Ovis aries: one gene and its partners. The protein of the gene in region 1 interacts with the protein of each later gene in a pairwise test. Links are inferred from orthologs where the notes say so. Each region holds a gene or a part of one and is shown on either strand. Other genes may lie near its edges.

Region 1 (7,721 bases):
GATTCCTGTTTGTTTTGCCTCGGGTAACTCTAGAGTCTTGCATCTTCTGTGTGTGTGCGCGCGCGCCCCGTATATGTGTGTGCCCCCTGTGTGTATGTGTGCGCCCCCTGTGTGTATGTGTGTGTGTGGCGGGGGCGGGGGGATAGGGGGGATGATGTGGTCCGGGAAGTCTGAACACCGAGATGTCCTCTAGACCTATCTCTCCCCAGTTCTGGGCAGCTGGGAGGAGGGAGTGGGTTGGGAATGGCTGCTCTGCCAGCCAGCCAAGCCCTAACTGGAGCCGGGCATTGGGGCTAGCTCTGTGGCAAAGGAGGGGCCACATTCCTCCCACTGTCCTCCTATATACACAGGACCTGTGGAGGTGTGGGTTTTGTTTGGTCTTCCCTGAATCCCAGTTTGGAGGTTTGTGTTGGAGAAGGCTGGGGAAAGGAATCCAGGTGAGGCGGGCAGCCTTCCAGGCCATGGGCCACTGGGAGCACAGACTCAGAAGGGAACACCTTCCTCAGGAGACAATCTCCCTGCAGAGTCACCAGCCCCGGGTGCCCGCAGCTCCCGCACTCCTTCAGTCAACTCAAGCAGTCTTACCCATGTAGAGATGCTGAGTGCCCATCCCCTCGTACCTAGAGGACCAGCAGGCGCTTCCAAGGAGCAAGTGTGTGTGTGGCTGGGGTGGTGATCATAAAATCAGAGACACCGTGCCAGCCTTTCTTTTTCCTGGAGCACGTGTGCGCTCACTGTCAGTGCACAGACTGTGTGCCTGGCCCACAAACCTTGATGAGCGGCACCTTTTTGCCTCCTTTTGCAAAACCACTCTTGGTGTAGTCTGTCTCATCTTTCATCCCTTATTCACCGATCCAGATGCATTTTCTCCTTCCTGTTCACCTTGCAGAGTGACTGCCAAGGTCATCCCATGACAGAGAGGGCTCTGCAGGGTAAAGGGTTGTGAGTTAGCTGTGCCAAGGCCATGGTTCAGGCATGCTTCGTGCTGTGGGGGCTGTTTGCCTAGGGCTTCTACCGGGCTGGTGTGTGCATGCGTGCATGCTCAGTTGTGTCCAGTTCTTTGCAACCCTGTGGACTGTAGCCCACCAGGCTCCTCTGTCCCTGGGATTTTTCAGGCAAGGATACTGGAGTGGGTTGCCATTTCCTACTCCAGGGAATCTGCCTAACTCAGGAATCCATCCCATGTCTCTTGTGTCTCCTGCATTAGCAGGTAGATTCTTTACCACATCTACTGGGCGGGACTCATGCTTTATCACCTGTGATAAAGTAGAGGTGGCGCAGTGGTAAAATACCTGCCTGCTAATGCAGGAGACACAAGAGCTTAGTGTTTAAAGCTGAACTAGGCCTGCCCTGGACTTTCTCATCAGGTTCTCTGATGGGAAGCTGACTATAGGAGCCTAAGGTTCCTGGTGTCTAGGTTCCTGGTATCTCTCTCTAGGCACAGTAAGCCTCCATGAATATGATTATAATGGCAGTCCTTTGCCAAGGATTTACAGCTCACTGGGAGCTCAATAGCCATTGCCTCTTAATTCTCAACTCCATGAAGCTAGCATTATTTCCCTATTTCCGATGGAGAAACTGAGGCTCAAAGGTTAGATGACTTTCCTGAATCAGCAGGTGGCAGCACTGGCAGTCTGACGGGCATGTGTGCCCCTTCATCAGACAGTAGTGGAAAGTCCCCACTTTTCCCATGTGCTCCCACTGAGTGCTCTTCTTTTTCTCCTCCTCAGGTGCCCTGGGGCCAGGTGCCACTGGCCTTTGTCCAGGTGGGTGTGTGCAAGCCCGGGGAGCATGAGGACGCTGGAAGACTCCTCAGGTACGGTCCTGCACCGCCTCATCCAGGAACAGCTGCGCTATGGCAACCTGACTGAGACCCGCACACTGCTGGCCATCCAGCAACAGGCCCTGCGTGGTGGGGCCGGGGCTGGGGGCACAGGAAGCCCCCAGGCCCCCATGGAGATCATGGCACCAGAGGACAGTCAGGTGCTGCAGCAGGCCACGAGGCAGGAACCCCAGGGCCAGGAGCACCAGGGCACCGAGACCCACCTGGCAGAGAACGGCCTCTACCGCCTGTGCCCGCAGCCTGGCAAGGGCGAGGAGCTGCCCACCTATGAGGAGGCCAAAGCCCACTCACAGTACTATGCCTCCCAGCAGGCGGGGCCCTGGCCACACGTGGGGGACCGGGATCCCCGCGGGCCCCCGGGAGGCAGCCGGAGGCAGGATGAGGCCCTGCGTGAGCTGAGGCACGGGCACGTGCGCTCCCTGAGCGAGCGACTCCTGCAGCTGTCCCTGGAGAGGAACGGGGCCCGCACCCCCAGCCACATGAGTGCCTCTCACAGCTTCCCCCAGCTGGCCCGCAACCAGCAGGGCCCCCCAGCCAGGGGCGCCCCCACTGCCGAGGGCCCGGAGCCACGAGGACCTCCACCTCAGTACCCACACGTCATGCTAGCTCACGAGACCACCTCTGCCGTCACTGACCCGCGGTACCGTGCCCGTGGCAGTCCACACTTCCAGCATGCGGAAGTCAGGTAACTGCCCACTTCGGTCTTCAGGCTCTTGGCTTCCTTCCAGTGTAGTTTTCCCAGGGTGAAGAGCCTCCAGGAGGCTGGTGAGCTCCAGAGGAAGGCTGATGATACCCTCTCTGTCCCAAGATGGGAGCTAATGCTGGAAGGAAAGAGGGATTTAGCTAGGGTCACATGAGAACTTAGCAGCATCCCTTGCTTTAATTGGCTGTAGCCTTCAAGTAACTAGGGTTCTCAGGGGCTGTCAATTAGAGCAGGGAGCTAAAGGTTAGATTTCAGAAAGAACTTGCAAGGACTACAGTTGGGAATCTTTCCCAAGTTAAGTGGGAAGAAGGTGAGACCTCCTCTGGAAGCTTCTAAAAACAGAAGAAGTCTTTTCTTCCTTGCTGTCCATGATTTTTGGGAGGCATTCCTCAGTGGGGGCAAGAAAGAAAGGACCAGATGGCCTCCGTAGAGATCTCTCCTCCCCTACACAGGGGTGGGAGCTGCCCTGGAACTGCCATTCATTTCCGTTCATGTTCTTCTGTGTGGTCCATGGGGCAGGAGCCTGGGAGAAGGTTCTTGTTCCAGAAGCCCCTTTATGTGGAGGCTCCAGAGTAGCTGCGGGGGAGGGGTGGTGGGGGGACTCAGCTTTTAATTCTGAGAGCAAAGGGAAGCCTTTAGAGGATGTGATTTGGCATCCCTTTTCAAAAAGGTTCCTCTGTTTCTTGTAGAGAATGGATTCTAGGGGCATGAATGGAAGCAGGGATGCCCAGGAGGGGCAGGAAGCCCAGAGAGTTTTCAGAAATAAGGTTCCTAGAAATGAGGCTCTCGTTTGGCCCAGGACCTTCTCCTGAGAAGCTGGCACACGCCCTTTTCACACGCCCTTAATTCCCCCCCACCCCCCACCCCACACACAGGGGTCCAGGAAACCCCAGTGGAGGGGCCTGAAGGCTTGCAGGCCCCCTTCCTCTGGTGCCCCAAGGTTCAAGTCTGGTTTTCTTCGTGCCTGCTGAGTCCTCATTTAGTCACCTGCTTTGCCACGGTGCAACCTTGCCCGGGAAAGATGCCTTTCTCTGCTCTCGAGAAATGAGTGACGTGATGGCTCTGGAATGGAGGCGCCAGAGGACTGAGCCTGTGGGGTTTTGCCAGCCTCAAGGCCCCCCTGCCTTACCTCCCTTCTCAGGGCTTGGTCCTGGAAGAGTTTCAGAAGCTGAGTCGTAGTTTCTTCTTTGGACCATGCTCACTGAGCCCTGTCAGGAAAAGATAATGTCGTGGAAAGGAAGTCGACTGTTTGCTGGAGAACAAAAAAAGTGGGGGAGTGGGGGGTGGGGAGCAAGTGTGAAGGAAAGGAGGCTCTATTCTCTCGGAGAGCCCAGTCATCCCCAAAGAATGCCATTTGTGTCTGCCTGGCTGGGAGCAGGGGAGCCGGTTGGAGGGAGCCACATTCAGCAGCGCAGGGGGAGTTTGCATATTCCAGTGGGGTACCCTCTCAGCTCTCACTGGAAGCTCTACCTTGGACAGGAAACGAAATACATCTGCCAGCTTCTCCTTCAGCCAATCTGGTGAAGACTGTTTGCTGGGAACTGGCAGTGGGACTTAGCCTTGGGTCTAAGAAGAGCAGGGGAGCTCGAGTCTGGAAGGGGAAGGATGAGGGCACAGGCAGGCATGGGTTCTGAGGCGATGGATTCGTCTGCAGCTTCTGGGACTTGGGAAAGCTCCTGGTGAAACTGAGGCAGTCTAATTCTCTTACATCAGAGCCACAGGGCCCCAGAAAAGCTGTGTGACCCCATATGCTTGACGGTGGGACCTTGAGGGTGAAGACCTTGACACGGGACCCCAGTATCAGAGGCCAGGAGAACACTGTCCCTAACCTCAGGCTATTGTAATAGTTAACAGGTGGTCCCTTCACCCTGGATAATCCACTGTTTGGGTCACATTTACTCTCTGAGCAGAGAGTAGGCTGTGGTCTCCACGAGAAGAGACAGAGGGTAGGCTGTCACTGTGGAGATGCCCACTGCAGGCCCAGCACTCTGCCAGGCAGATGTGGCCTGACAACCTGCCTGAGGCTAGAGACTCTCACCCTCCGGGCTGAGCATGGGCCCGTGCACCATGGCCTCAAACACTGGAGCCAGAATTTGAATGCCTGATCTGTCAGACTGGAGCCCAGACTCAGGCTGACATCTGTCTCACCACTCTAACCTTAGCCACAGTCTTCTAAAAATGTTTCTTCAAGGGGTGACGGGACTCAAAATAGGAGGGAGAAGAGGCGAGTGTGCTGCGTGGGCAGGTGTGCATGGAGGGCCTGACACCAGCAATGAGAACAGACACAGGGTAGCTGCTGGGGCCCAAGGGCCTGGAAGGTTGTGAGTTTCAGTCATGATGAGCGTGACCTCCAGATTCAAAAAGAGCTGCCTATGGCTGGGACCATTCAGGCTGATCCCCAAGGCCTGGACCACAGGAGGCTGGGCATGAAATACGTGTGCTGACGGTAATGCCCTGCAGCCCTGCTTCCCTGGCCCTTGAAGGTCTTGGGGACACCATGTGGAAAGGCCTTGCCTAGAGGTTACTGCCTAACGCTGCAGGAAAGCGGTCTGCCTGGGAGGACTAGGGCAATTCTTTGTGGCTCCGTGGTCTCTGAGGACCGTCCCTTCTGTTCCCCAGGATCCTGCAGGCCCAGGTGCCCCCTGTGTTCCTCTCGCAGCAGCAGCAGCAGTACCAATACTTGCAGCAGCCTCAGGAGCGCCACCCGCCCCCACACCTGGCCGCCCTCAGCCCTCCTGGGGTGGAGGGCCCGGCAAGCACCCAGGCCTCTTTGGCCACCTCAGGCGGTGCCCACCTGGCCCAGATGGAGACTGTGCTAAGGGAGAACGCCAGGCTGCAGAGAGACAATGAGAGATTGCAGAGGGAGCTGGAGAGCACGGTGGAGAAGGCTGGCCGCATCGAGAAGGTGAGCCCTGCTGAGGCCTCAGAGAAGCAGCAGGGGGCAATAAGGGAACCCCAACAGGGCTGACCAGGGAGGGGGCTGTCAGAAGGGAAGCAGAGGAGTCTAAAAGCTGGTCTGGCTGGGCTTCTCAGCTGCCCCTGGGGGACCCCCCCCCCCCATCCCTCCTGCACCCTTCCCTGGCTGACTCCAGACAGCTGGGGAGCAGCCGGCAGAGCAGGCCCAGAGCACGAGCAGTTGCTGCCCAGTGGTGGTTAGAAAGAGCCCATTCACCGACTCCCTCAGGGTCTCACCCTTTCCCTGCACACGCCCCCTCCCGTGGACACCTCCCACAGAGAGCCCTTTGTATCCCCCACACAACAGCAAGTCTGTTCCAGGCCAGCCCTGGTCACAGAGAAAGCCCCTCCTCTTGGCAAAAAACGAGCGACTTATTGGAATCATGGGCCAGCTAGGAGCACGTGCAGAACCTGCCAGCTGCCAAGTGGGTGGGGCATCCGGGGCCAGGCTGGCCCTGTTGGGGGATGGCTGGAGAGGCACATACTCCAGGCAGCTCAGGCTGGCTCCGGTGCTGAGCTCTGAGTGAAGGGGCACCAGCCGTGCACTCAGCCTTAGCAGGTAGCCTTAGGCTTTCTGTGACTGTGCGTGGTCTCCAAGATAGGTCCACCCCCACAGACCACAGTTGGAGCCTCAGTGCCTGATCCTGGTCCATTGTGCTCAAATTTCTCACTAGAAGCCAAAGAAAAGGAAAATGCTTCTTTCTGGACACTAGGCACCAGGGAGCTGCCCTCAGTCACCCTGGATGCAGCTCCTTTCAGAGAACGTGGCCTTGTGTTCACTCAGCACCTTGGGACAGTTGAAGGGACCCTGGCTTGCCTGTTCCAGCAGTCTGATCCCTCTCTGGAGGCCACAGGCTGCAGCCTGTCCCTCTCAGGCTAGGTGGGTTTCCGCTGTGGCTTTGTCTCTTCTCTCTCACCCTTTCTGATGGAGAGTCAGCAATCAACCCTGGCCTAAGGAGGGGACATTGATCCCATTGCCACCCTGGGAGCTCTCCCCTTCCTTCAGCTCTGCTCTCTGCCTCTTGCAGCTGGAGAGCGAAATCCAGCGGCTCTCCGAGGCCCACGAGAGCCTAACAAGGGCCTCTTCCAAGCGAGAGGCCCTGGAGAAGACCATGCGGAACAAAATGGACAGTGAGATGAGGCGGCTGCAGGACTTCAACCGGGATCTTAGAGGTGAGGACCGCTCACGCAGGTGGAGGGACAGGGACCACCTATGGACAGCTTGATTCCACTGTTCTAGGACATCATTCAGAATCTCTTGCCTCTGCGAAAACAGTACAAATCAGTTCAAAGGGGACTCGGCTGAGACTCCTTGGGGGCCACCTCGATAGAGAGATGCTTGTCTCTGTGTTCTAGACCTTGGGGCCCCTCCTGGAGCTCTCCCCCGTGTGGCCCAGGGTGACCCAGGGCTTCCCTATGAGCCCACCCCCAGCTTGGAGAATGTAGCCTGACAGACAGTTCCCTGGGGAGGGGTGCACCTTGGCAGGCAGCTTCACCTGCGCTCAAACCTTTTTCCTTAAAACGTCTTTTCTTCATTTGAAACAGAAAGATTAGAATCTGCAAACCGCCGCCTGGCAAGCAAGACGCAGGAGGCCCAGGCAGGCAGTCAGGACATGGTGGCCAAGCTGCTGGCTCAGAGTAAGTAGGGGACCCACGCAGGAGCCCAAGCAGAGGTGTGGCTGGTGGAACCAGGAGAGCTCCTCTTGAGGGAGGGTTGGCCTCCTCTGCCAAAGCAGGGCTTGGAGTGTGGGTTTACTGAATGCCCACTATGCACCCATCACTGGACTGGACTCGGGAGGGGCGGCTTCCCAAGGGGAGCAGGATCTGGTTCCCTGTGTACTGGGAAGATCAGGGGTAGAGAGACAGCTGGGGAGGTGTGCTGAGCGTCAGTTCGGTGTCCTCTAGAAGCAGCTGAGGAGAGCCGAGCACTCTGGAAACAGGTGGGATGAGAAAGAAGGAAGAGTCTGAGTCTCCCAGGGCGTGGACGTGTGGAAAGCTGGGGAGCATGGTGAGGCTGGGCCATAACAAGTGTTGGCACCAGCCAAAAATGGAGCTCACGAACACCGCAGCCTAAAGAAGGAAGTCAGGAGGGATCCCCTAAAAAGGATAGTCAAAGGCTTCTTGAAGAGCAGATGAGTTCATTGTTGACTGGCACATGCAGTCACTCATTTGTTCCCTAGCGCAGCCATGCTGAGCCCCTGGCAGGTGTGCAGCAGAGAG
Region 2 (7,467 bases), on another chromosome or scaffold:
TTGAGGCACAGATAGATCTCTCCCCTCAACATCTCTGCCTTCTAGTGCTGCATGATCTTGGGGAAGTCGCTCAGTCTTCTTTGTTTTAACTGTACCCTTTCCCCATGTTGAAAACTGATATATTTTGGGTTTGTGGGGAAAAAAAATCGCAGATGACAATGCCAACAGCTGTGACTTTTCTTTTCTTCTCATTTATTTTAGCATATAGGACTGCCAGGAGATTAAAATTTTAGAGAGAGATGAAAATTTAGAATGCTTTCTCAATTCACTAAATAATCACAGGATATAAAACAACTCTGAGGAAGATGGAGAAAAGTTCCAGATCGTACTTTTATTGTCTGAAAGAAGTTCTGGCAACATCTAATAGTGCTTTGCTGCCCCCAAATCACTTAGTAAATGGGTATATATTACACAGAAATGAGAAGAACAGAACTGAGAATCTTAGCTCTTCCACCTAACTAGCTGTGTGACACTGGGCAAGTTGCTTAACTTCTCCCAGCCTTAGTTTTCTCATCTGAAAGTGGTTATTATTATGAGAGCAGTGAAATAATGACAGGCCAGGCTCAGGGTGCCTGTTGCATAGTCAGTATTGAGTAAATGGCACCTGTAATGATTGTTTTTATTGTCACCATACCAAGAAAAAATCCACGTGGCTAGAAACAACGTGGTACGTACACTGACTCCCCATGTTGGCAACGTTCCTGCCACACCCGCGCGTGAGTACAGTGCTCATCTGTATTCATGAGCCTGCCTCTCACCAAAGACTAAGGGGTCCCTTGATTCTTGGGAGTTTGATTCTTCTTTCCATCTTTATCTGCCCCAAGTCTGGCTCAGTGCCAGATATACAGTAGGTGCTCCATATCTGTTGCATAAGACAAGTAATGAATAAGAGAAGTTCTCTCTTAATAAGTAAAACAAACTTTTTTATAATTTATGTAATAATATCAAATTTAAAAGAATGTATCAGCAAGTTTTTGTTACAAAGCTCTCTTACAGAAGGCAAATAAGTGTCAGTCAAATGACGAGCACCTAAGAGGTTCAGTTTGTTGCTAGGATACAAATATATTAATTTGCTCCCTGAACTAATCGGTATTCTAGTTGGGCATACAAAACAAACATGTAGGAAGATAAACATTGTACAAAATCAGCACCTCTCTCTATAGTATCTTGAACTGCTAATAAATTCTTTTCAACACAGCAAAGTTATTTGATAAATATTATAGAAAATACCCTTATGTAGTATGTGGTGATTTGCTGGTGGAATCATAGAGGCAGTTACTATGTGCAGATGAGGGAAGAATCCAGATTCTAGTATACCTAGTGAAATTGAAATTGGAAGAAGATTAACTGAAAAGAAATGAGATTTTTCTGCAGGTTTTGAACATACCAAACAAAGTTATAGAGATGAAAAAGTGGACATACAGTACTTAGACACATAGAAGTGGGTTAAGAGATTTTAGAATAAGTGAGATATTTTTGTTAAACAGAAGTAGGATTATTTTCTCTATGTGGTGTGGCAAGGGCTGCCTGCCTGCCCTCACTCACACTAGACTCAGCGTGATTCTTTGGAACAAGAGATTGAAATCAGAGTCTCAACTCACTCAACATAGGTTTGAAATGATGAAACGGATATGAAATGATGAAAGAACAAAAAGTTTAGAAAGAGTAATACAGACAAAATGGTGGGGCATTTCAAAAGCGTAACTGTAACAATTCATAGGTTAGATGAAATGTAGAAGGAATTTAATTTTTTTCCAAGGAAAGGATAAATTTAAAAATGCATGGAAGAGAAAGATTGTCAAGTGAAAACAATACTTAGAATCATAGTGTACAAGGAAATAAATAGTAGTACCTGGGGGTACAGTGGAGATTTGAAATGCATCTTGGAAAACTTCAATATAGTTACCTTCCTGGAGTTGGAATTTTTACTCTTGCTTCAGCATTCATTTGATTTTAGTGGGGAGGACTTAACAGATTTAAGAAATACAAATTATTGACAGAAGAAAATAATCCATCCAGTATGTAGACGGAAAAGGAGTTTTCATGTCAGACCAAGAAATGTTAAGTGCAAATATAGGAAGTAGTGTTGTTTACTAAAGTGATAACTAGGAAGCTCCCTTTCTCACACCATCACTGCCTGCTGTGGCAGACTTGTTGCCTTCATTTCCCACTAAAAGATATTATCAAAGACAAACAGAAGCTCAGTATTCATAACCATTAAGTTTTGCTGAATTGCAACTCACTGTTTGCATTGGCTCAGTTTGATGGACGAAAATGTGGCATTAAACCTTATCCTTGATGATCCTGAAGTGATTACATCATTCCTTCTATTCCTTCTTGAAAAGACACAAGAAGCTGGCAGGCTTTTCCAACTGATAAAATTAAACTTCATTAGTCAATATAAAACTATGCACAAGAAAGAAATAGGGACATGAAAACATTAAATCTTTCTAATGGGGCAGAGAGAGTGCTATATACAGATAGTGCTGAATAAACAGTTTTTTACCATATCTCCTTCATGAAAGTATAACCTACTGGAAAACGAGGCAGAGAAACCCTGTCCAGAAACACAGATCCGAAACCACCATGAAAAGATTGTTATTGGAGCCTAATATGGATTTATTATCTCCTGTCAGGCCAAATTCAGATTATAAATTTGTCATCAGTGGAAAAGGAAGCTAGTTGATAGTCCTGTTTTCGAGTTCTTATATCTTGTTTGAAACTAATTGGTAAAATGGAAAGAAATTCTTTCCATAATTAAATGCTCTCAGTTTAAAATAATTTTAAGTTTCAAGAAGGCACTGTACTTAAAAAAAAAATCCCTTTGAATAGCAACCATTTGTTTTAGTCTGAAACTACTATATCAGTGAAATCTATTATGACAGAATTATCGGGATCAAAAAAGGCATTGTAGATGCTACAACTTTAAGTGAATGTTTGATAAATGAATTTGAGGGAACCAGGGGGGAGTAAAGCATTTTCTCCTAGCACAAATGTGTCAAAGAGACAGCTTTATTGAGAAGAGTCCTTTTCAGGTGTGCTGAGTCACTTGGCAGAATGACCGTGACATAAACCACATAAGAATTAAACAACTACAACTCAGTTGTTTGTGTGACTTTTATTTTTGTTTCTGTGGAAATAAAAATCTAGCTCCATTTCTGTTTTCCATATAATTACAGAATCTGTCTACTGACATTAAAAGGTTTTCTTGGAAAAGTTCCTTTTATGAGGTGAACTGGTTTGCTTGGCAGTCATATAAATGCTATCTAAAGGTATTCAGAAGCCCCACAAGATGCAAGTACTATTTAAAAATGTACTAACCAGAGGCGATCTGTCATTTCCTTCCTGTAATGTCCTATCCCCACATGCCCCACCCCACTGTTTTTTCTCCTGAAACACAGCCGCCTTCTATTTCTCCCCAGGGCAGATCTGTTCTTTTTTCTCACTCCCCTGGACCACATATTCCCCTGCTGACAGTTCTCAGTGGGGACTTGTCCTTTACAGTATAGGTATTTGGGTACTTACTTTCTTTTCAAACTTGTAAACTCTTTGAAGGACAGAACTATTGCCCCTCAATGCTTCATGTAGTTTCTTGTACACAGCTGGTAATAAATATTTACCAAATAGATAACTATTTCTCTTCGTGTATTGCAGGTCATCTAGAAGACCCCTACTTCATTCAGCAAGAGGAGCGGGAGAGATTTATTCTGGATGGTAGAACAAAAGGAAGAATATTGATGGATTTTAAACTGCAGTTTTTAAAGCACTTGAGAATACTGAGGAAATAACTTCTTCTCCTGCACTGCATATATACGTTAAGGTGCAGCTGATGCAGCTGAGAAAAATGCAGAGCATCAAGAAGGAGCAGGCATCTCTTGATGCTGGTACCAGTGTGGACAAGATGATGGTGCTTAATTCTGCCTTGACCGAAGTCTCCGAAGACTTGACGACAGGGGAAGAACTCCTTCTCAGTGAAGGAAGTGTGGGGAAAAACAAGTCCTCAGCATGTCGGAGGAAACGGGAATTCATTCCCGACGAGAAGAAAGATGCCATGTATTGGGAAAAGCGGCGGAAAAATAACGAAGCTGCCAAGAGGTCCCGGGAGAAACGTCGACTGAATGACCTGGTTTTGGAGAACAAACTCATTGCACTGGGAGAAGAAAACGCCACTTTAAAAGCTGAACTGCTTTCCCTAAAATTAAAGTTTGGTTTAATTAGCTCAACAGCCTACGCCCAGGAGATTCAGAAACTCAGTAATTCTACAGCTGTGTACTTTCAAGACTACCAGACTTCCAAATCCACTGTGAGCGCCTTTGTGGATGAGCATGAGCCCTCGATGGTGGCCAGCAGTTGCATTTCTGTCATCAAGCACTCTCCTCAGAGTTCTCTGTCTGATGTTTCAGAAGTATCCTCGCTAGAACATTCACAGGAGGGCCCTGTGCAGAGTGGCTGCAGAAGCCCAGAAAGCAAGTTCCAGGTCATCAAGCAAGAGCCAATGGAACTGGAGAGCTATGCCAGGGAACCCAGAGATGACCGGGGTGCCTACCGAGGGGCCGTGTATCAGAACTACATGGGGAATTCCTTTCCCGGATACTCGCACTCTCCCCCTCTGCTGCAGGTCAACCGGTCCTCCAGTAACTCTCCGAGGACATCGGAAACTGATGAAGGTGCAGTAGGAAAGTCATCCGATGGAGAAGATGAGCAGCAGGTTCCCAAGGGCCCGATCCACTCTCCCGTCGAACTTCAGCGTGTCCACGCCACAGTGGTTAAAGTTCCAGAAGTGAATTCCTCTGCCTTGCCACACAAGCTTCGGATTAAAGGCAAAGCCATGCAGATAAAAGTGGAAGCCTTCGATCATGAGTTTGAGGGCACACAAAAACTTTCCTCTCCTGTTGACATGACGTCGAAGAGACATTTCGAACTCGAGAAGCATACCACCCCCAACCTGGTACATTCTTCTCTCACTCCCTTTTCAGTCCAAGTGACTAACATTCAAGATTGGTCTCTCAAATCTGAACACTGGCATCAAAAAGAACTTAATGGCAAAATTCAGAGTAGTTTCAAAACTGGAGTGGTGGAAGTGAAAGACAGTGGTTACAAAGTCTCTGACCCAGAGAATTTGTTTCTGAAGCAGGGGATAGCAAACTTGTCTGCAGAGGTGGTCTCACTTAAAAGACTTATAGCCACACACCAAATCTCTGCTTCAGACTCTGGGTAAAATTACTACTGAACAAGCTCTGGGCCTTTAGAGATGTCATTTGCAATAGATGAGTACGTTTTGTATTAGGCTGAATTTTCACTGGACCTGTGATGTCATTTCACTGTATAACATTCACATGTTGTCTGTTGGGTGTCTTTTTGTGCACAAATTATTATGAAGATTAGACTGTGTTATCACTCTGCCTTGTGTATAGTCAAATAGTCCATCGCAAAGGCTGTATATATTGAACGTTATTTTTGTTGTTCTATTATAAAGTGTGTAAGTTACCAGTTTCAATAAAGGATTGGTGACAAACACAGAACTTTTGCTCCATTGCACTTAGTTTTATGGGAAAGAAAGCAATTTAAATAACAAAGTGGATACTGTATTAAGATACTCTGCATTTTACTTATTTGGAAGAGTTTTCTCCCACCTGTAGTAAATGAAAGTCACTCTTTGTGACCCCATGGACTGTAGCCTAACAAGCTCCTCTGTCAGTGGAATTCTCCAGGCCAGAACATTGAAGTGGGTAGCCGTTCCCTTCAGGGGATCGTCCCAACCCAGGGATCGAACCCAGGTCTTCCACACTGCAGGTGGATTCTTTACTGTCTGAGGGAAAACTAAAACATAAGTTCAACACATAATTTTCTTTTTCTAGTTTGGTCCAGGGTATGGTAAGTTTGAAAACCTTCCATAGGAGGAGAGTAGAGAAAAGAGGGTGGGGAATGCATTTTCTTGCATTTGAGCCTAGTAATTTACTAAATTACTCCCTGTTATATATTTTTCTTTAAGGTTTCGTTTTCTATATCCTTTTTGTTTTTAAGTAGAAAAACCCAAGTTGTTTAGCATCAGCATGTCTTTAGTCATCTCTTTTAAGGATGACACATGGAAGTGAATAGTTGAGTCATTGACCCACTTTGTTATTTAGAGGTTCTATTAAAAGAGTGGATTAAAGACTAAGGATGAAGTCATTTTTATGTTATTGTAAATCTTAACAGTTCCAGAGTATAACAGTCTAGGAAATTAACCTAGTGAAATACTGTTTTTACTTAGTTTCCAAAATTTCAAAGAACACATCAATGATCACATTTCATCATATTCAACCTGAATATATGTAATGACTTGGCTTTTTACAGTTTGTTAATGATGACTATAAATAATAGCTCCAGTTTGGAAACTATAATATAGACGTCCAGAAGAAAGCATCATTCTAAGTAAACCAATGACAAGATCATGACTGATGATTGGTCCAGGATCCTCAGTCGTCCCATAGAAGTAAGTGTCCTTAAATACAGACAAGTGTGTCTTCTGTTGCAAGGTGGGACTGGCTTCTGGGTAGGCTGGAAGGGGTGAGTGGATGTTGGTTAACAGCTTCCTCCAGAGCTGTTCTCCTCACCAAAGCCTCTCCAGAACTGTTCCCACGCTGCCTTCTTTTTCATCCTAGAAGTATGTGTGTATGCCGGGGGCATAGGGAGGGGGTCTTGAGGCTTCATAATACATGTGAAGGATGACTTAGCCCTCACTCTGTTACGCATATCTCCCAATTATAACATCCCAGTTTAGAGGGCCCCTGCCCTTTTGACTGCCTGATTTTTAGTATTTTAAACTTCCTACACTTTTACATTTTAAAGAGAGATCCTTTGAGTTAAAGGGAATGCTGGGACACACACACAGGCCATCCACTTTGTCCTCTTGGACACAGTGACCAGTTTGCTCTGAAATCTCCTGACGCCTAGGGAATGTGTTGCCAGTCTCAGCCCTTGGACTTGTCTTTTCAGCACTTTTTAGTGACTGAATGAGGCCCAGAGGGACACCTATATCATCTGCAAATGTTACAGGGCAGAGGAGGGTTAAGATACTGGATGGTAGTCGACATCCAAAAGCATTTCACAGCCTAGAATGGATGGAATGACTATAACAACATGAATCAAAATAGGACAGGGTGTAAAGTCAGGTTCCTGTGTTAAGTGGGAAAACAAAAGGCTGTCCAAGTTCACAACTGGGGAGAAAACAATAACTCCACATGGAAGAAAAAAAGCTCTAGTTCCCTTCAGCACGCCCAGTGGAGTGCTGGGCTGTGTCGCACTCGAGGCTGTGTTACCTCCCCTGTGAATTGCTAACGTTAGCTATTGTGGTAACTATATTGCATCTGGACGCCCCCCTCCCTAGTCATTTTGTCTTATAATTTCAAGCATCTAAGATTCAATGGACATGAGTTTGGTGATGGACAGGGAAGACTGGCATGCTGCAGTCCATGGGGTCCTAAA
Region 3 (8,447 bases), on another chromosome or scaffold:
TGGCCTAGAGAATTCCACGGACTATATAGTCCATGGAGTCACAAAGAGTCAGATATGACTGAGCAACTTTCACAAGCCAGAGCAAACCCAGTAGGAAATGGAGTGGTATTCCCTATTTACTGAATACTAAAATGACTACGGATTATGGTGGGCATACCATGGGAGAGAATGAGCCAAGAGCTAGAATCTCCAAAAAATGACGGGGGGTGGGGTGAGCCTGGGAGGTATGTACAGAACAGCCACAAGTAAAGAGACTGTGTAGTATATCCTGATGACAAGCTGGGGGCTTTTAGGGAAGGGAGGTGGAAATGATCATCTAGAAGGAACGAGGACACCAAGCATACTTACACCATGACAAGGCTCCTAGGGGAGCGCCATGTTCCCATTAGAACAGGAAAGTTAAGGGACCTTTCCAGAGAAAAGGGTAACAATATAGCAGATTTTGCTGATGACTGACCATGTGTTTTAGAAGGCTCTCAATAAATGAGTGCTTATTAAGGATTAATGAAAAATGAGACTTAAAATGTATCTAATGATTGCATCATGCCTACCTTTTAAAATGCCTCAACTGAAAAAACTTCATTCTGCTTTCATGTTTTTTTTAACGTTAATTTGTATTATCTAAAAATGACAATATTCTTTTCCAGCCTTATTCATTTTTCCTCTTATGGTTCCTCTTACATTTCCTATGTATCTTTTCTAAAATCTGTTTGGGGAGAGGAGAAAGAAACTCCTTTTAAGCAATACATCTTCGTGCAACTCTAATTGCTTAATCTCCCATTATTTTGTCTGCCTTAAACATAAATACATCAATGACAGGAATTTTAGAGCTTGACAAGAACATAAAGATAACATAATGCAACCTTCTCACTTTACAACTGACCAGAGAGTGTAAGTTCAGTTCAGTTCAGTCACTCAGTCGTGTCCGACTCTGCGACCCCATGAATTGCAGCACACCAGGCCTCCCTGTCCATCACCAACTCCCGGAGTTCACTCAGACTCACGTCCATCGAGTGAGTCAGTCCATCCAGCCATCTCATCCTCTGTCGTCCCCTTCTCCTCCTGCCCCCAATCCCTCCCAGCATCAGAGTCTTTTCCAATGAGTCAACTCTTTGCATGACGTGGCCAAAGTACTGGAGTTTCAGCTTTAGCATCATTAAGAATGGATTGGCTGGATCTCCCTGCAGTCCAAGGGACTCTCAAGAGTCTTCTCCAACACCACAGTTCAAAAGCATCAATTCTTCAGCGCTCAGCCTTCTTCACAGTCCAACTCTCACATCCATACATGACCACAGGAAAAACCATAGCCTTAACTTGGACCTTAGTCAGCAAAGTAATGTCTCTGCTTTTGAATATGCTATTTAGGTTGGTCATAACTTTTCTTCCAAGGAGTAAGTGTCTTTTAATTTCATGGCTGCAGTCACCATCTTCAGTGATTTTGGAGCCCCCCAAAATAAAGTCTGACACTATGATTTGCCAAATTGTCTTGCCTGGTTACTAGCAGAACCAGGGCTAGAATCCATGCCTCCTCTCCAATTTCCTTCTGTTTTTCTCTAAACAGCAGAAACACAGAAATCATCTGCTAGAGGGACATTGTGTACTGACAGTTGACTGCAGGCTCTGAGGTCAGACTACTGAAGTTCAGATCTTAAATCTGCTACTTATTAGCTGTGTGACCTTGGTCAAGCATCCTAACTGCTTTGTGCTTCAGTTTCTCCATCTACAAAATGGAAGGCATAATTATATCTACTTCATAGAGTTGTTATAATGATTAAATGAATTAATGTCCTTAAAGCACATACTGTGCTTGGAACATGAAGAGTGACCAGAAATTCAAGTTAGTGTTACTATTTAGCACATACTCTGCTAGCTGCTGATATAACAGAGATTAACAGAAGCCACAGATATTACTCACAGCTGTTTTTGTTTGGTCTGGAGTTTAATAAACCAAACCAAACCAAAGTAACAGCAAAAAATGCACTTGAAATAATGTTTACAAATCTGGTTATTTCACGTAAAGTTCTAAATTTCCAGTTTCTCTTGAAAATCAGAAGGTCTGACATCTAGTCCCAAATTCAGATGTAGCAACAACTGGCTGGAGCTAAAAGCAGCTACCCAGCTTTAGTCCACACCACTCACATGATGTATTCACATGCTTGCCTCTGAAACTGCATCCCAGGCTAAGACAATCCCTGTTCTCAAGGAATTCACAATCCAATAGGCAAGATGCATCTGCTAAACAACCCACAACAAACAAGTACAACATTGCCAAGCACTAATCTGAAGGAACAGGGGCATGTACTGAATGGTGGAGGAGTTGCTGGTGATGAATGTTGTCAAGAAAGTGGCTTTGAAAAACAGGAGTGCAAGAGGGTTGCAGAGAAATAGGATACACAAAGAACATTGAAATGGCCAACAGTTCGTCTGTTTCTCAACTGATGAGTCCAGTTTCGAGACTACAATAAGAAAAGGACAAGTAGGCTGACACTAGATAATAAAAGCCCCTTAACTTGGATTTCAGCCAAGAGATGGATGGCCCTTGAGATGTTTTCTGTCATTGAATTCTAAATCTAACTTTAATGCATGTATGCTTGGATACTCTTACATTCTCTGTCAAATGTCTTTGGACCTTGTATTTGAGAAAGAAATAATTTAAAACCCACGATATTGTATGAAATCTCTTTCAATAGCAAATTGCCACTTCAGGAAGAAGCCTTGTTTTTATAATTGATAAAATACAGTTTTTAGTTTTGTCTGCAAGTAGTTTCCTTATCTGTAAAATGGGTATAATAGCACCTAACTCAGGGCTAATAAATTGGGAATTCAACTCAATGTAAGTAATGTAAAGAACTTACTAGGGTATCTGATACAGAGTAAAAGTGGTCAATTAGTATGTTGTTATGATTAGGATATATAATGAGTTTTCCTTGTCTATCATCCCTACCATTGAAAAAATAAAACATTTCATTAAGTCAAATATGTATTTTTCATTTAAAACTTTAGTTAAGATTGGAGGCATTTTCAGGGCGCGTATGGTAAACTGGAACTGTGTTAGTCACTCAGCTGTGTCCAACTCTTTCTCACTCCATGGACTGTAGCCCACCAGGCTGCCCTGTCCGTGGAATGCTCCAGGCAAGAATACTGGAGTTGATAGCCATTCCCTTCTCCAGGGGATCTTCCCGACCCAGGGATCAAACCTGGTCTCCTTCATTGCAGGCAGATTCTTTACCGTCTGAGCCACCAGGGAAACCCGCATATGGTTAAAAAAAAAAAAAATGTAAAACGTACTAGAGAAAAGTGCCAAGATAAAGCTTCCTTTCCTTTCATATTGCAAAAGTTTCAATAATAATTTAAAGATTTTTGTGCAACATAGAAAATGCAAGTTGTCCGCAGAAACTAATTCAACAATAGTTTAATAGTGGTAATAAAAGTGCTTAGGTAAAGACATTTCTCCAGTTCCTGTAGCCTTAAAGAGGAGGAAAAGCCCTCAGGCAAAAGACCTTTTCACATCTGACAGTAACATCCTGGATGGCCTGGAAGCTCAGACAAGCACTTGGCGGGAAAAGAAAACATACAGACCAAAATCTCACAATCTGTTTCTGTTTAGTTTATAAACTGCGACCGAGTCTGGCAGCTTTCGTGCCTTGTGGGATTTGAAGTCCAGAGGGGAGAAACGATCAGGGTAGTTGAAGCTTCGAAGCCGGCGGCCCCTGCAGGTCTGAACAGTAAGGACTACAATTCCCGACACACACCGCGAGGCCGCGCCGTAATTACCGGCAACCAACCGGACCGGAGCAGGATTAGCTCCATCCCCCGGCTCGGGAGGACTGCCTCCACCAATGGCAGAGCTCTCACCGCTGAGCCTGCGGGTTAGGTTGTGAGGCTCCGGCGGGGGCGGGGAGGAGCCGAGGGGGTTCTGAACGAGCTCGGCGGCGGGGTGGGTCGGGGCGTTCGGCGCGCCCTTCATTGAAGCGGCGGTGGCCGGGCTGGGCGCCGGGAGTGGGAAGCGACGGCGCGGCTGGAAAATGCCAGTCCATTCCCGAGGGGATAAGAAGGAGACGAACCATCACGATGAGATGGAGGTGGACTACGCCGAAAACGAGGGGAGCAGCTCCGAGGACGAAGACACCGAGAGCTCGTCGGTCTCCGAGGATGGAGATAGCTCAGGTACGAGACCCAGCGGGCTGGGACCCCGAGTCCTCGCGCCAGGCTAGCGAAAGGCCGCTCTCCACACGCCGGCAGCTGCGTCCTGCTGGGAGAGCGGGGCGGGGAGAGAGGGAAGGGGCGGAGACTGGCTCCCGGCCCTCCGTGGCACCCAAACTGTTCGCGGGGCGCTGCCCAGCTCCTGGCGGGTCCCGGTTGGCGGGGCGGAGCGGGGCAGGGCGCGGGCCTGGACTCGTCCAGCTCACGGACGCTGCTTGGTTCTGTTCTCGATCCGCCCCGCCCTTGGGACCTCCGGGTAGTGCCTCGGGCTATCCGGAGCGGAAAATGTCCCGCATCTTATCTGGGAGACGCTAGAAATGCCTCCTCTCCCCACACCGCCGACTTCTTATTTTTGCACCTTTGCAGCCCTTCTCAGCGTGTGTGGGTTGTCAGGAGCCGAGGGTACTCGCTCTTGGCTGGTTTAGAATTTATTAATGTCAGCTTCCAAGTCAGCGTGTCAGTCAGTAGTTGACATTCGTCCTCTTTCGGGGGGCTGACGTGGGAGCTGGGTCATCTGCATCATTTCTGTGAACTTTTCAAGACTGAGAAGAAGAGCCCAACATCAGGACTGATTTTAGATCTTCATATGCTTATCAATAACTGGCTGATTTTGGCAGCTTTGAAGTTCTCCAAATCTTTTCTTCCCTTCAGTCTTTTCTAACTTTGTGCTGTTTCAGATTTTTTTGTTTGTTTATTTGTTTTTGTTTTCTGTTTTGAAGGGAGTGGGATGGGGTAGAGTGGCGGGGGGTGGGGGGAGCAGGTTAACACCATAAAGCATTTTTTGCAGTCTTTTAGGAGTGGTTATTTTAAAAAGAGATGAAATTTATGATTACCTGGGTTCCTTTCCTTCTATCCATACGACGAAGATGAGACTTATTTCTTTGTTTTGGCCTGATTTTGGCTATGTGAAGCAAGGATTGATGACAGGTTAACAACAGCCTATCATCACCATGACACTCTCTTTTTTTAGGCTTCCCTTTCAAAGAAAACCTCCGTGGAAGTATGTAATTTAAGTCAATAAATCAGCCACCCCGAATAAGTGTTTCTGAGTGACTTCCTTTTGCAGTATTGGGTTCTACTCAGTGGATGGTATAAATAGTTATGATCTGACCACAATTAAACAGCTGTCATAGGTCACCACTTGAATCAATTGCCAAATGAACGCTTATTTATAAACAATGCTGTAGAATTTGAGAGGTAGAGGACATCTTTTCAGTACAGGATGGTCAGCCAAAGCTAGTGGGATTACCTAATTATCTTGAGGAATGGGCGGAATTTGGATTGGAGTGGTAAAGTTCAGGTGTTTCTATAGAAGAAGGAATATAAGAAAAAGTGCAAGGCGAGAGCTTAAGCCTTATTTAGAAGAGTGAGAAAACCAGTTTGGTTGGGAGAAGGATTTGAGCTAGAAAAGGAAAAGATATAGGTGTTAAAGACTTCAGAAAAAGCAGAAAGTGGGATTGATGACTACCAGTTTAGGAGTCGATGTAAGAAGAAAAACCCAAATACAAAGAGAATGGTGGTCGTTTGAACAAAAATAGAAAAAAAAAGATTTGAGATGAAGATAGAAGATAAAGTATTACAGACATGTTGTTTTTGAGGTCCTGATGGTGTATTTGAGTCAGAGTGCCCAACTGACAGGTGGTAATGTGGCATTGGAACTTGCCTGGGATGGGAAGTATAATTTGGAACTCATCTGCTTAGTCATGAAAATAGGTGAGATTTCAAAAGTGAGGATTACAGAGAACATCTCTACTATATGTGAGTATGTTTTCTGGATCTGTAAAACATTTTATTTTCACATGTTCTTTGTTTTTGTTTTTATGGGAGTCAGGATCTTTCAAAATGACATTTACTAAAATTCTGCCTTTCTAATTTTTATGTTGATCCTTGTGGGCTTTTGTTTTTAACTGTCTTTTGTTCTATCCCCCCAAATAATGGACACATTAATTTATGAAGAATATGATAATAACTTGAAGCACAAGTCAGATTTTTTAAGCACAAAGAAATTAAATAGATTTTCCAGTTGCATGTTGCTTTTGTATCTCTTTTCTACCATTTATCTTGCATGTTAAACTCCCACAGTTTTATTCCTCTCCAGCCTTGGTACTGGGCCAGTCTTAAGGCTACAGAAAAATTCCATCCAGAGATATTAGGGAGTGAGTCATCTTGAGGGACCACATTTTAAAGAGTCAAGGAATAAGCTCTTAAGAGCCAGAGATAATTTTAATCTGTTTCAGAAAAGTTAAAAAAAAAATCATACTTTCTTGCTGTAGAAAGTAACTGGACATAATTTAATTTTTTCTCATATTTTGACCTTTATTTGATGATGATCAATACAAATATCATTTTGTGCTTAAGTTATTCTGATGTTGTCAACTATATGTGATGTATTGATAAAAACAGACAATGTGAAATATAGGAGAGAGCTGGTAGCTATCAGTTGTTTTCCTTGAAAAGTTTGCTTGTCTTCCTCCTTCCGCTTTCTCACTGACTGACAGAAATTTGGGGAGAGGGAACAGTGGTAGCCTAAAAGTAGGAAACCAAGATACTCTGTGGTAAACATAATGAGATTAATTTTCTTTTTTTATTTGACTTGCAAATTATCTGTGTGAGCATTCCATAAGTGGAATTCCATAAGTGGAATTCCATAAGTATTCTTGAGCAATATTAACCTTTAAAGGACATAATCATTTTGGTGCTTAAGTTCTGGTGAGTTGGTGGAAAACAAGCTGAAAGTGGATTAATTACTTTATAGTCATAGTTTAAGGTCAACCTTTCTCTTTTTGGCCGTGCTACAGCATGTGGGAACTTAGTTCCTTGACCAGGGATCGAACCTGTGCCCCTTACAAGTGGGAGCACCATCTTAACCACCGGACCCCTGCCCCATCAGCCCTTTAATAAAATGATTTAAGAATGAATAAAGAGGCTTCCCTGGTGACTCAGTGATAAAGAATCTGCCTGCCGATGCAGGAGACACGTTTAATCCCTGATCTGGGAAGATCCCACATGCCAGGAAGCAACTGAGCCTATGCACCACAACTGTTGAGACTATGCTCTAGAGCCCAGGAACTGTAACTACGTAGCCTGAGAGCTGCATCTGTTGAAGTCCGGGCGCCATGGAGCCTGTGCTCTGAATCAAGAGAAGCTGCCACAGTGAAAAGCCCGTGTGCGCAACCAGAGAGTAGCCTCCACTCATTACAGTTAGAGAAAGGCCCGCACAGCAACAAAGACCCAGCACAGCCAAAAATAAATACATAAAATTATTTTAAAAAGCGGATAAAATTAAGAATGTCTAGCGACTGTTTTAACTCTTATCTGTATTTTACATTAAATCTACAGTGGAAATTATTTTTGATAAATGTTTAAGTCCTAATGTAGTTTTTCTGTTTTTTTTTTCTTTAACCATTTGAATTAACCTTCAGATGTATTTGGAACATAACATTAGTTTTAGCTTTGATATTTGCATTTTATTAACAGAAATGGATGATGAAGACTGTGAAAGAAGAAGAATGGAATGTTTAGATGAAATGTCCAATCTTGAAAAACAGTTTACCGATCTCAAGGATCAGTAAGTAGTAATTTCTGAAGGTCACTGTTACTGAATCTCAACCTTGTCACATGTATACTAGCATGAGAGAAATTATATTCATTCTAAACTATTTTCCTTTTTGTTTTTTATGGGACTGACTGACCTGAAAAAGGCTTCAACTCTTGTTTTCCTGTTGAAGGCCTCATTAACTAATCAAGGGTTTTGAGGCTGGTTTTGGGGGGGATTTAATGAGATTTTTATGTGGGTATTGGTTATGAAAGTGTTTTCCTTGGATTGCTGTACCCTTGGTTCTAATACGCTTGATTCATTCTTTTGTTAAATAACTGGATAAAGATAAGATTTTTTAAAAAGTTTGAGAATAAGAGTTATTTCCCAGAGATGGCATGGTGATTTTTATTTATATCTTAACATTGGATAATGTATACATTGCATGTTTTCACATGCATTGTTTAGTTTGCTTCTCTGTAAGGTTGGAAGATAGTTTTGTCTCTCATTTGCGCTTGAGAAGATTGATGCTCACAGAGGTTAAGTGATTTGTTCATAGTTTATCAGAAGGTGATAAATTAAGCTAGGCTTTGCCTCTTAGGTGCTATCATGTTCCTTCCACTAAGGCACATTACTTTGGAGGAATCGTAGTGGAATCACAGGCCCTGAATCCAGGCTTTCTTGACAGATTTTAAAAATATAATAATAG

What was found. The genes of interacting proteins can lie anywhere in the genome.
Region 2: the proteins of AMOTL2 (region 1) and NFIL3 interact in binary tests that used the Homo sapiens proteins (3 or more experiments, as listed by UniProt). The two-hybrid records come from large-scale screens. The link is inferred for Ovis aries from reciprocal best matches to the Homo sapiens genes AMOTL2 and NFIL3.
Region 3: the proteins of AMOTL2 (region 1) and BRMS1L interact in binary tests that used the Homo sapiens proteins (3 or more experiments, as listed by UniProt). The two-hybrid records come from large-scale screens. The link is inferred for Ovis aries from reciprocal best matches to the Homo sapiens genes AMOTL2 and BRMS1L.

The regions. Positions count from the first base shown.
Region 1 is NC_056054.1:255,606,234-255,613,954, forward strand, and holds part of AMOTL2 (angiomotin-like protein 2), read left to right. Parts: intron 1-1,730; 5' UTR 1,731-1,791; coding exon 1,792-2,528; intron 2,529-5,165; coding exon 5,166-5,451; intron 5,452-6,529; coding exon 6,530-6,674; intron 6,675-7,046; coding exon 7,047-7,139; intron 7,140-7,721. UniProt on the Homo sapiens protein: Regulates the translocation of phosphorylated SRC to peripheral cell-matrix adhesion sites. Required for proper architecture of actin filaments.
Region 2 is NC_056055.1:26,457,387-26,464,853, reverse strand, and holds NFIL3 (nuclear factor interleukin-3-regulated protein), read left to right. Parts: upstream 1-3,829; coding exon 3,830-5,218; downstream 5,219-7,467.
Region 3 is NC_056071.1:43,745,393-43,753,839, forward strand, and holds the start of BRMS1L (breast cancer metastasis-suppressor 1-like protein), read left to right. Parts: upstream 1-3,898; 5' UTR 3,899-4,025; coding exon 4,026-4,167; intron 4,168-7,677; exon of another isoform or gene 7,678-7,680; coding exon 7,681-7,771; intron 7,772-8,447. UniProt on the Homo sapiens protein: Involved in the histone deacetylase (HDAC1)-dependent transcriptional repression activity. When overexpressed in lung cancer cell line that lacks p53/TP53 expression, inhibits cell growth.